Linked DNA regions of Callithrix jacchus. The protein of the gene in region 1 interacts with the protein of each later gene in a biochemical or structural test. Links are inferred from orthologs where the notes say so. Each region holds a gene or a part of one and is shown in the gene's direction. Other genes may lie near its edges. The genes, in order: MYO6, DAB2 and TAX1BP1.

Region 1 (4,227 bases):
TGCGGTGGCACGAACTTAGCTCACTGCAACCTCCATTTCCCGGGTTCAAGCGATTCTCCTGCCTCGGCCTCCCAAGTAGCTGGGATTACAGGCATGGGCCACCATTCCCAGCTAATTTTTTGTATATATATATTTTTAATTAAAAATGGAGTTTCGCCATGCTAGCCAGGCTGGTCCCAAACTCCTGACCTCGTGATCCGGCCGCCTCAGCCTCCCAAAATGCTGGGATTACAGGCGTGAGCCACCATGCCCAGCCCCTATTTTATTCTTAATATTTTGTTTTAGTTGAAAGCTAAAACATCTTGCGAGACCTCAGTTTTTTTTTTTTTTTTTGTTTTGTTTTGTTTTGTTTCTCCAAGAAAACCGTGAAGCCTTTAAGTATCAGAAATTCTCTTCGGAATCTTCAGAATTCCAGAAGTTTCCAAGTCGCTACATATAAATGTTGCAGAAAAACGTGCAACTCTCATGTGTAAGTAGGCTATCTTTTTTCCCCGGATACATTTAGCATTATAGTCCATTATCACTTCGTTGCCTTAACAGAAGCTGTTTTCATCGTAAAGATGATGTGTTTTCACCATATAATTCAAATTTGCATAGGTACTTCATATTTTAAAAAGTGATTCACAGATATGTCACGTATAAAAACAGTAACATTTAAACGACTGAGAAGGTAGGGACTCTAAAAAGTAAATGCAGCGGCGAGGGTGGGAGTGGGGAGAAGCAAAGGGGTGCGAAATTCACATCTCAAGCCCTCCCTCCTCCAAAGGCCGACTGGAACTTAGTTGTGCAGGAACGTTCCTCCCTATGCAGGGCAGCCCAGCCCAAGCCGGCCAGATCCGGAGCCGAGGTAGCCGCCACACAGCCTCGCTGCAGCCCGGGCGCGGCCACCTGGTCCCTGGGTCCCCAGCGCGGAGCCCCGGACTCCTCGCCCCCTCTCCGAACAACTTTCTCCCTGCTTGAACTGATTCTTGCTGTTGGCAGCCTGCACAGTCCCGGCATCAGCCGGAGAGGACCTGCCTCACTGGGACTGGAAACAGCTACCGCGACGAAGGAGGCCGTTTCTCTGTGCGAGGAACCAGAACTCCCGGCTTGTCCAGGGCAGCCCCTCCCTGCGCAGCAGGGCGCCCACCCCGCCCCAGAGGCTCGGCGCCGCGGGCGGGGCGACCCCGGGGGTACGGCGCCCTCGCTCCCAGAACGCGCGCCCCCTCCCGGCGCGCTCCCGGGGGCCGGCCGCACCGCGGCCCCGGCGCCCCCGCCCCCTCGGGCGCTCCGTAGCCGTGACGTGCACGCCGCGGTGCCGGGGACTCGGCTGGGCGCCGGCCGGCGGGCGGAGACCGACTCGGGATCTGTCCGAGCAGGAAGCCAGCCGCAGCCGGGCCGCTGTCGCCGCCCCGTCCTGCAGCGCGTCCGCGTCGTCGGCCTCTTCGCTCGCCCTCATCTCTCGCCCTCATCACTTCCCACCGCGCCCTTCAGCCTGAGCTGCACGAGTACCTCTGCCGCCGCGCACCTGCCTTCACGCCGGCACCGGTGAGTGTCCCGGAGCCCCCGCTGCGGGGCGTAGGCTCCGGGGTCTCGCTGTTCCCGGCCCGGCCTTGCTCTTGGGCCTCCTCGGGCAGCTCCCGGGCCGACGCGTCGGTTCACCGCCGGACGACGCGGGTGGGAGAAGCAGGTGATGGGTCGGCCCCGGGCGGCGGCGGCGCGCGGTGGGGCCGGGGGTGGTTCTTGTTTCCACAGAAAGACGTTTAGCCTCCTTTCACGGGTTATCAATCACCAAGGTCCCTTTGTGTTTCTTCCCTGGCTCCCAGGTAGAAGCAGAGCACTCAGGTGTCCAACTCGGACTTGGACACTTTGTGATAGTTTTATTTTCTCTTTTGTAAACACGCTTAAAATACAGTGCAGGGAGAGCGCAGTTTGTTCTGAGATGTGAAGATCAAATGATACCATTAATAGTCTAATCATGTAGAAGACCAGATTGAGACTTTGTAAAGCTTTATTCTTTGTCTCTCAGTACCTTGAGTATGTTAATTTACAGGTATGCTACTGAACAAGAACTTTCTTCTGTTAATTTCCAAAAACTCCCTAAAACGATTAAAATGCTCAAACTCTGGTATTTTAATTTTAAATAGGACATAATTTGATGGGGTATCCCTAGAACATCTGAGTTTAGAAGTATTTCCATACAGTTTCAAAAAATTCATTACATCTTATCTAGCATAAAGTGATACCGTGGAAAGATGCTTAACTCCTAATTTATGAGTATTAGTGAGAAAACGAGAAGAACTGCCCTAACTTAATAGACTAACTGTACGGGCTAAGTAAGTCTCATTTTTTTTTTTTTTTTTTTTTTTAATGCTCTGGTGGTATAGATGCAGTCTATCTAGTCAGAATTTGAGAGTTTTAAAATTAAGGTTCCTTTTTTGAGACGGAGTCTCACTCTGTCGGCTCACTGCAACCTCCACCTCCCAGGTTCAAGTGATTCTACTGCGTCAGCGGCTGGGCTTACAGGCGTGCACTACCGCCCAGCTAGTTTTTGTATTTTTAGTAGAGATGGGGTTTTGCCATGTTGGCCAGGCTGGTCTCGAACTCCTGACCTCAGGTGATCCACCCACCTCAATCTCCCAGTGTGCTGGGATTAGGCATGAGCTACCGCACCTGCCCTAGAAATTAACATTCTTAAGATTTAGCTGAAACTTATCTTCACAACATAAAACATGAATCTTGAACTTGGACTTGTAGTGGTCATGGTACAAAGGTTGGCGGCAAAGCAGCATTTCCTGTACAAATTAACTGAGCTTCCTAGATGTCTCAGGTTGTGGTTTTCCAACTGGAGAATGTTTAGTGAAAAAATTACCTCTGATCGGAGTCACGGCACGTAAAAAAAAAAACAAAAAACTTAACTGTGTCTTTTGCCTTTAATTGTAGAAACCGCCACAAATGTTACCAAGTGGACTATAACTAGAGCTTGAAACCATGCAGCCTTTCACAATAGCTCGCTGACTTTTATATATCCAGCTCGTTTTGAGTATTTTTACGTTAGGCAGGAATTACATCCACATCGGTAAACAAGTCATTGTAGTCGTATGTACATTTGCCCATTACTTTTGCATTTTTTGTGTGTGACATGCTGTTTATCATTCTCCATCTTTGTAAGTTACATTATTGTTTTCAGAAACTATTGTAAATGGCAGTAACAGAAGTATGAATGACATTTAAGGAAATATGTTAAAAACTGTATAATATATAAAACTATATATGATATACATATATATTCTTGGTTAGTGCCCAGAAACATGAGCAAGAAAAATGTAATGAACAATTATAATATTTAATGTAAATTAATGCAATTAAATATTGTATTAAAAACAAAAGATTGTAAATCATAACCAGTAGAGCTTATCTGAAATGGATTTTTTTCCTATTTATGTTTACGTGATCAAGTTTTAAAATAACAGTGACCAGGAAATCCGAGAGGCTGAAGGCTCTTTTCTCATCCTGTTGTGACTTTGCCTGGAGTCTGTGGTGTATCATGTAGCCCATTGTTTAGACAATTGGGCTGTATCTGGCTTCCAAAATGTAGCTTTCTTTAGAAAGTTTTTTAGAAAGTTTCAAAGATTTTGACCATGTGAGGTTTGAATAGATATATACATCCAAACATTTTTTAAAAATTAACCCATTTTAACTTTGTTGACAGTTGAGGCTCCGTTTTTGACATGTAAAATGTCAGTTTTAAGAAGAATTTAACTTCTGTACAGTTTTCATTTTTATATATTAAAATATCTAAAAATAAAATATTGAAAAGTGTTATAACTTAAATAAATCTCATAGAGTTTATTTATTCATTTTTTTTTTTTTCCCTGAGATGGAGTCTTGCCCTGTCACCCAGGCTGTGTAGTGTCATGATCTCCGGTCATTGAAACCTCCACCTCCTGGGTTCAAGGGATTCTCCTTCGTCGGCCTCCCAGGTAGCTGAGATTACTGGTGGCCGCCACCACGCCTGGCTAATTTTTATATTATTAGTAGAAATGGGGTTTCACCATGTTGGCCAGGCTGTTCTCGAACTCCTGAGCTCAAGTGATCTGTCCGCCTTGGCCTCCCAAAGTGCTGGGATTGCAATCGGAGTTTAATTATGATACCCATAATGAGATATTTCATAATGATTTATGAACTGGCCCTTTACTAGTATAAGATTATTGCACATTTGTTAGTCACCTGCCATAATTGGACAGA
Region 2 (4,085 bases), on another chromosome or scaffold:
GTCCAAATGCACATTGTGGTTCAGTAGGTCCTGGCAGGGCTTGAAATTCTGCGTCTCTAACAAGCTGCCAGGTGATGCTGATGCTGAGCATAGAAAGGATTTAGTCTGCCTTGAGGAGGCAGGGAGCACTAAACCCTGGTTCCACCACTTACTGTGTACCCTTGACCTAGACTGAGCCACTTAACTTCATTAGGCCTCAATTTCCTCATTTCTAACAGACAGTAATAGAGTGCCTTCTTCACAGGGGTGTTGTGAAGAGTAATGGAGATAACTATGGGCATGTAGGATGCTAACTGCTAGTGTTATTAATATCACTGAAGCCATCATTCCAGGAGGTAGTCAAGACTGACAGCACTAAGTTGGAGGGTTTAGGTAACTTCACAGTGGATGGATCCAAAAGTATTGTAGTTTTTAAGATACATTGGAATGATAGAGGCTGCGATATATTCTTATGCTATGTGATTATTGAGTTCAACTCATTAAGTAAACCATGCATTTTATGTTCACCAAGTCTCATTATGCCATTCAGCAGCTGCCTGCCTAAATGCCAATGCCAATACAGCAGAATTGTAGCAATTTCTGGACACAGAGGACTTAACCTGATACAGGCATCACCTCCATGTGAGAAAATATCGTTGGAGGACTATCATCAAAGTGTGTTTAAACTCAAATAATTGTGTGTCTCTATCATAATAGGACATTTTCCTTCCAATGAAATGATTTTTTGTCCAACAGTAGAAATATATAAATTACCCAGGTTAAAAAGCATGTGGAGACAAGAGGATACACTCAATTGCTCTCACGGAACATGCAGTAGATTTAAAGGGAGCCCTGACTGTGATGTACACTGTGCCCTACAGGTCTTTCTGAACCCAAGGGGAAAAATACGTCCTTCAAAAATAATGTAGTTATTGACGTCAGTAAGTCTGAAGTAAAACAATTAAGTGCTTTCAAGTCATTTTGTTGCAAACAGTTATGCATTGAGAGTCAGCTATATGTCTGACATTATCCTCATGAAGTTGTGCAAAGGCAAAAAGTTTAAGAGTCAGTTCCTAGCCCCAAGAAATAGACAAGTGATTTGTTAGGCAATGCATGCATACATGAAACATGACAATGTTCAGGGCAGCATGTGATTGACTGCCAAAGTGTCTTGAGCAGGAAGTACCAAGGGAGGATGGAGATGAGAATAATCGGGGTTGGGTGGAGAATATCTGAGGAAACTGCACTTGATTTTGGCCTTGAAGAGTCATTGACTGGATTTGGCTACGTCTAGAAAAGTGGAAAGGTCGTTCCCTGCAGAAGCAACAAGAACAACAAGCTTGGAGGTAAGAAGGGACATGGCATAATTTTCTGTCTGCAGAAAGTAATACAAAATTGGAAAATAATATTGATTCAGTCTGTTAGGGCAGGATCATGGGGAGATTTTGACAATCAGTTGAGGAGACTGGAATAGGAATGTATTAGAAGACTGCATATGTAAATACTTGCATTTGTATATGTACATGTATATTTATTTATCGGCCAAGTAATATGATAATAGTAGCTCGTATATATATGTATCTGCAGAAGGTAGCACCTAAATTTTATAAATATTAAAGAACTTTGGAATCAGAGTGTGTGTTCACCTTACTCTTTTATTCAAAAACTCATATTTATCCAAACATAGCAGGATTCTTTTGACTTGGAACTTTCCGAAGATGATGATAGGGTTTTACTAATAATGATTCCATCCACACTCTCAAGAATTGCATGCAATTTATTTTTCTAGTTATAAACAATGATCTACAAGAGATCCTCAGTGTGTTCTACTAACGAAGCAACTAATCATAACACTTGATCTCTGTGGCCAAGAGCTATGGAAACGGGTCTGATCCTGTCTGGTGCTCTTCCAACGTGGGCATAATGATGGGCGTACTATGATGCCTAGTTGGGCTGGAATGTCCATGTCTTGCTTCAGGGTCTTTATTTCTAAGTCTAGGTCCCTGCTCCTGCCACTACAAGCTCAAAGCATCACCTTTCTAGATTGAGTTTTTCCTAAATTTCAGCTTCCCTCCAATAACCCCCTCAAATGCTGACCGTAGCTTTACTGTGTCTATATGTGCCTTCTCCCTAGCAGCTGCATTTCCTTTGGGAGAACAGTGGTCTTCTGTCTGCTGTGGCAAGCAAGTCACTTCTTCTTGTAGTGAGAACTGAAACCAGAACCATCATGTGCCACTTCCTGGACACCTCCTATTAAATATTAAAGTCCCCTTCCTATCACCACAGAAACTGGAGTTTAGTGGGGAGAGGCCCAGGTTCTTAGACTGTAACATCAGTTACAACCTGCCAACTGCGAGCCCTTGTGCAATTGACATTTCTGTGTATCAGCTTTCCTTTTTCTTTAGAATGAGATATTAATAGTAGCAACCCAGAGTTGTCATGAAGCTTCACTAAGTTTTTATATATAAAGAGAATTAAAACAGTGCTTGGCACATAACAATAACTCAATAAATGTTGGTCTATTATGATTATTGTTTAATCTCTTTGTGTATTCATATCATGTAGATTATATATGTACATCACTCACTAGCTAATTAAAATTCTCCATTCAAAATTGATTCTAACATTTAGATTTTTATTATCATTTGACTACTTATTTGAATATTTCTATCTATATTTACTCATATGCATTTATATGAAAGGCAATAAGAGCATGAAAGAATACTACATTACCATTCAGGCTTAACCTATCTAACTATGTGAGGGGAAAAAAATCTTGCTAAGAATTAGGAAACTACAGAAGTCTTTTAGCACCCAATGCAATGGACAAACCTGAAGTGGAATAAAATCTGATATTTTTAACTGGTTGCTATGTTCTTGCAAAACTTCTAAATTTATAAAAGGTGTCTATCAGCTAGTTGAGAAATCTCTCAACCTGTACTCCAGGAAGAACTGAAGCAATGTAAAGCATGTAATTCTTATAGATGACCTTGTTATAAACACAGAACTTTAGTGTATGAAAAAATTAAAGGGCAATACAAAATTGAGGATATTATGGGAGGTCAGGAAGGAGTGAGCTCAAACAGGCTTAAATTGTAGTGTGAAGGATGTGGCATAAATATCAGTAAACATTCATGAACAGTAAATGCTATTCAAATGGGGTCATTACAATCTCCTTCCCCAAGAGCCCTCAGCAAATGTAGATTTACAAGTAATCCTGCTTTAGCTTGATAATTCAACACATACCTTGGAGGCAAAGGGAATGGATTTGATTATTTTGTTAAGGATCCTTTGGTCCTCTGATGTTATAATCCTGAGAGAAACCTCCAGGTATTCCTCAATCTATTGTTTCTCAACTAAAAATGAGAGAATGGTATGCTAAACTGCGTCTATGGGTCTGAGATCTCCATGCTAACTGTGTTATAAATAGCATGGACTCAGTGTACTTACTACTACTAAGGGAAGTTGGTGACTTGAAGGAAAAGGAGGAACTCTGCAATTTTATTTTTAGTGTTTTTATTAATTTCAAACTTAATTTAAATTTTTAGGAATTAAATCTTTTCTAGCATTTTTTGATTTTAGAAACATTTACTTGTGACCAAAAGCATTCCACAATTTTTTAAAAACATGTCATCCCATTTCAGTAAAGTTATTCTTGAAGAAGAATGTTGACTAAGGAAGCAAAAACACAATTATAAGACTGAATCAGGCATTTATTTTAAAAGTATTACAGTCACCTCTTCAGAAAAAAATATAGCAGTAGGCACTTCTCCCCATCCCAACCCCATGATCTAACCTAAGATCTCCATAAGAAATGTGTTATTATTGATCTCATGAATAGCCCAGCTCCTATTTCTAGTTATGATGTACACGAACTTGGAAAATTACTAAATGAATACCATTTTTTTTTTTTTTTTTTTTTTTGAGACGGAGTTTCGCTCTTGTTACCCAGGCTGGAGTGCAATGGCGCGATCTCAGCTCACCACAACCTCCGCCCCCTGGGTTCAGGCAATTCTCCTGCCTCAGCCTCCTGAGTAGCTGGGATTACAGGCACGCGCCACCGTGCCCAGCTAATTTTTTGTAATTTTTAGTAGAGACAGGGTTTC
Region 3 (3,651 bases), on another chromosome or scaffold:
TTTTCTTGTTTAGTGTGTAGAGTAATTGATGTTTTAAGTCTTTTTAAATGTAAACATCTTAGACTAATAAATACTTAATTAGGTTTGTCCCCTGTAGGACAGAATCGAGCCTTCTATTTTCATGTATCCTCTGTAGTACCTAAAATGGTGTCATAGGGTATTTACTTAATAAAGACCTAGTGAATGAAGGACTAGAAGAATGATTTAAAATGTGTTCTTGACTGGGTGTGGTATCATATGCCTGTACTACTAGATACTCTGGAATCTGTGGCAAGAGGATCCTTGCTCCCAAGAGTTTGATGCCAGCCTGGGCAGCATAGTGAGACCCTGGCTTTTAGAGAGGGGAGAGAGAATTCTCAGAGTATGGTTTTCCTACTTATCCTGTCTATTCAGTTGTATAAGGAGAACAAATTTTTTTTTTTTCTATTTCGGAACTCTTTTTAGCAAATTAAAAAAAAATCAAAGAATAATCTTTCATTATTGAATATGAACTTGGTTCTGGCCAAACACACATGTAAAAATTCTCAGCTAGAGTTTATATATCCTTCTTTGTATATCTAGGATATGAATAGATATTTGTGTCCTCCAGTATTCCATTTATTATATTTCGCAATATACTGACCTTTAAGTTAATCTGAACAGGCAGATAACGGGGGCAAAATACTTTGTAACAGTCTTGTTTTCTGTCTTCTTATACCAGAGACAGATTTTGACATAATAACAAAGGGGCAAGTCTGTGAAATGACCAAAGAAATTGCTGACAAAACAGAAAAGTATAATAAATGTAAACAACTCTTACAGGTAAGTTAACTCCCTTGTAAATGAAAGAGATTTATCAAATGTAAATGACTTAGCTTACCTTTATTGTTTTGATTGATTGGTATCTTTGAGTTCCTTTCCATCCCCAGATACTGTTATTTAGTTTCACTTTGGCTTTCAGGATGATGAGGTGGGTGTTTTGTGTACCTGTTCACATTGGCATGTGTGTAAATCATGAGACCTAAAGTCATTGTTTTCTTTTCACCTAATAAAATGTTCTTGTTTGGGTAATGGGCAAATAGTTAACTGAGGTTAGAGATTATTATCTGTCATCTTACAAAGATTAGTGAAAAATATTTGAACTTCATAAAGAGAAGTGTTCTTTTAAAATTTACTCTTACAGCCCAGGTATGGTGGCTCATGCCTGTAGTCCCAGCATTTTGGGAGGTCGTCATGGGTGGATTGCTTAAGGCCAGGAGTTCGAGATCAGTCTGGCCACGTGGTGAAACCCTGTCTGTACTAAAAATTAGCCGGGCTTGGTGGAGCTTGCCTGTGGTCTCAGCTAGTTTCCTGAGGCAGGAGAATCACTTGAACCCGGGAGATGTGGGTTGCAGTGAGCTGAGATTGCACATTGCACTGCAGCCTAGGCAACAGAGTGAGACTCTGTCTCCAAAAATAATGATATATAAAATAAATTACTATTATAATAGCAAAGATTTTTACATCTTAAAGTGACTAGAATTGCATAGTGGAAAAGGGAATGTTAACCAAATTAGTTATTGTCTCTTATGGTGTTGTTTATTTTGATTATTTTAAACAGCATCATTCTGACTTTTCTAGTTTGCAGCCTTCTTGGTGTAGTGTTCACTACTGGAATATTTAAAGGAAAAGGGAAGATGCTTCTCATTTATATCAATTTGGACTAGAGAGGAAAAAATGTTTTTTGTTTGCATATGTCATTTTTGTTTTATTAATGGGCTTTTATTTTGTGTGTTTTTATGTGCATTGGGGGGGCATTTTTTAGAGCTATAGAATAAAATTTACACATTAGCTTAATGTTACTATAATTAATTTTAGTAATTAAAATATTTTATGTTACTTATAAATAGCAAGACGTTTTAATCAAAGTTTAAAGTGAACTTTTTTTTTTTTCTTGAGAGAAACCTGTAGAAGGGTTGATTAGAACAGTTTTACTCTTGAGTTCAGGGTAGTTGTAAGACTGAACTACATTTTCATTAAAGATGAAACAATTCTGCATGAATATTTAAAGATTTTTATATTGAAATAGTATTGTAAGGAAGGTAGAATAATGTTCAAGCAAAAACCTTCCTCAAAGTGCTTTTTTTTTTTTTAACAACTGTGTTGAGGTATAATTGAAATTCATTGAATTGGACATACTTGAAGTATACAGTTGGATCAGTTTTGACATACACAGTTGTGACACTATTAACACAATGCCATCACCCTCCCATTTTTTTTTTTTTTTTTTTTTTTTTTTTGAGACGGAGTCTTGTTCTGTCTTCCAGGCTGGAGTACAGTGGTGTGATCTCGGCTTACTAGAACCTTTCCCTCCCGAGTTCCAGTGATTCTCCTGCCTCAGCCTCCTGAGCAGTTGGGACTACAGGCGAGCCCCACCACTCCCAGCTGATTTTTGTATTTTTTAAATAGAGACGGGGTTTCATCATGTTAGCCAGGCAGGTCTCGAACTCCTGACCTCCTAATCTGCCCGCTTCAATCTCCCAAAGTGCTGGGATTACAGATGTGAGCCACCTTGGCTGGCTCACAATTTTTTTTGTACCTGTTTGCAACACAAGTCTTTTGTTATCCTTATCTCCAGGAAATCATTGGCCTGCTTTCTGCCACTATCAACTAGCCTACCTTTTATACAACTTTATAAAATGGAGTCATGTAATATGTATTTTTTTCTGCCCTCCTTTAGCATGATTATTCTGAGATTTAACATATTATTGCTTATATTTATTCCTTTTTTATTATATCATTTGTTCATTCACCAGTCAATGGGCATTTGGGGTTGTTTTTTGGCTGGTACAAATCTACTTATGAACATGTGTTTACGAGTTTTTTATGGATATACAGTTTTTTTATTTTTCTTGGGTAAATATCTGGGAGTGAATTGTGTGGGTGATATGGTAGGTGAATATTTATAAGAAATTACCAGCTGGGTGCAGTGGCTCAAACCTGTAATCCCAGCACTTTGGGAGGCCGAGGTGGGAGGATCACTTGAGGTCAGGAGTTTGTGACCAGCCTGATGAAACCCCTTCTCTACTAAAAATACAAAAATTAGCCCGGTGTGGTGGCGCATGCCTGTAATCTCATCTACACTGGAGGCTGAGGCAGGAGAATCACTTGAACCCGGGAGGTGGAGGATGCAGTGAGCCAAGATCACGCCACTGTACTCAGCCTGGGTGACAGAATGAGACTCTGTCCCCCCCCCCCCCCAATAAAAAAGAAGAAAACCAGAAAAGAAGTCACCAAACTGTTTTGTAAGGTATCTGTACCATTTTACATAGCCAGCCCTAATGTGTGTGTTCTGATAGCTCATTGTGGTTTTAATGTGCATATCCATAATGACTTGATGTTGAGCATCTTTTCTTATGCTTATTTGCTCTTTATCTTTTGTGTGAGTGGTCAAATCTTTTTGGTAGTTTAAACATTGGGTTGTTCACCTGGAGTTTGTTTCTTATTCAGGATATGTCTTTTGTCTGATATATGTAAGGTTAATATTTTCTACAAGTCTCTAGCTTGCCTTTTCATTTCCTTAATGATGTTTTTAGAAAAGCAAAATTCTAATTTTGATATAGTACAGTTTATCAGTTTTTTTCTGTTTTGTGCTTTTTACTTTCCAAGGAACGTTTGCCGAATCCAGGGAGA

What was found.
Region 2: the proteins of MYO6 (region 1) and DAB2 form a complex in vitro, tested with the Homo sapiens proteins (7 studies listed by BioGRID). The link is inferred for Callithrix jacchus from reciprocal best matches to the Homo sapiens genes MYO6 and DAB2.
Region 3: the proteins of MYO6 (region 1) and TAX1BP1 form a complex in vitro, tested with the Homo sapiens proteins (5 studies listed by BioGRID, with this or other methods). The link is inferred for Callithrix jacchus from reciprocal best matches to the Homo sapiens genes MYO6 and TAX1BP1.

The regions. Positions count from the first base shown.
Region 1 is NC_133505.1:80,986,482-80,990,708, forward strand, and holds the start of MYO6 (unconventional myosin-VI), read left to right. Parts: upstream 1-1,329; 5' UTR 1,330-1,527; intron 1,528-4,227. UniProt on the Homo sapiens protein: Myosins are actin-based motor molecules with ATPase activity. Unconventional myosins serve in intracellular movements. Myosin 6 is a reverse-direction motor protein that moves towards the minus-end of actin filaments.
Region 2 is NC_133503.1:166,097,237-166,101,321, forward strand, and holds the start of DAB2 (disabled homolog 2), read left to right. Parts: upstream 1-1,222; 5' UTR 1,223-1,325; intron 1,326-4,085. UniProt on the Homo sapiens protein: Adapter protein that functions as a clathrin-associated sorting protein (CLASP) required for clathrin-mediated endocytosis of selected cargo proteins.
Region 3 is NC_133512.1:30,307,112-30,310,762, reverse strand, and holds part of TAX1BP1 (tax1-binding protein 1), read left to right. Parts: intron 1-700; coding exon 701-801; intron 802-3,651.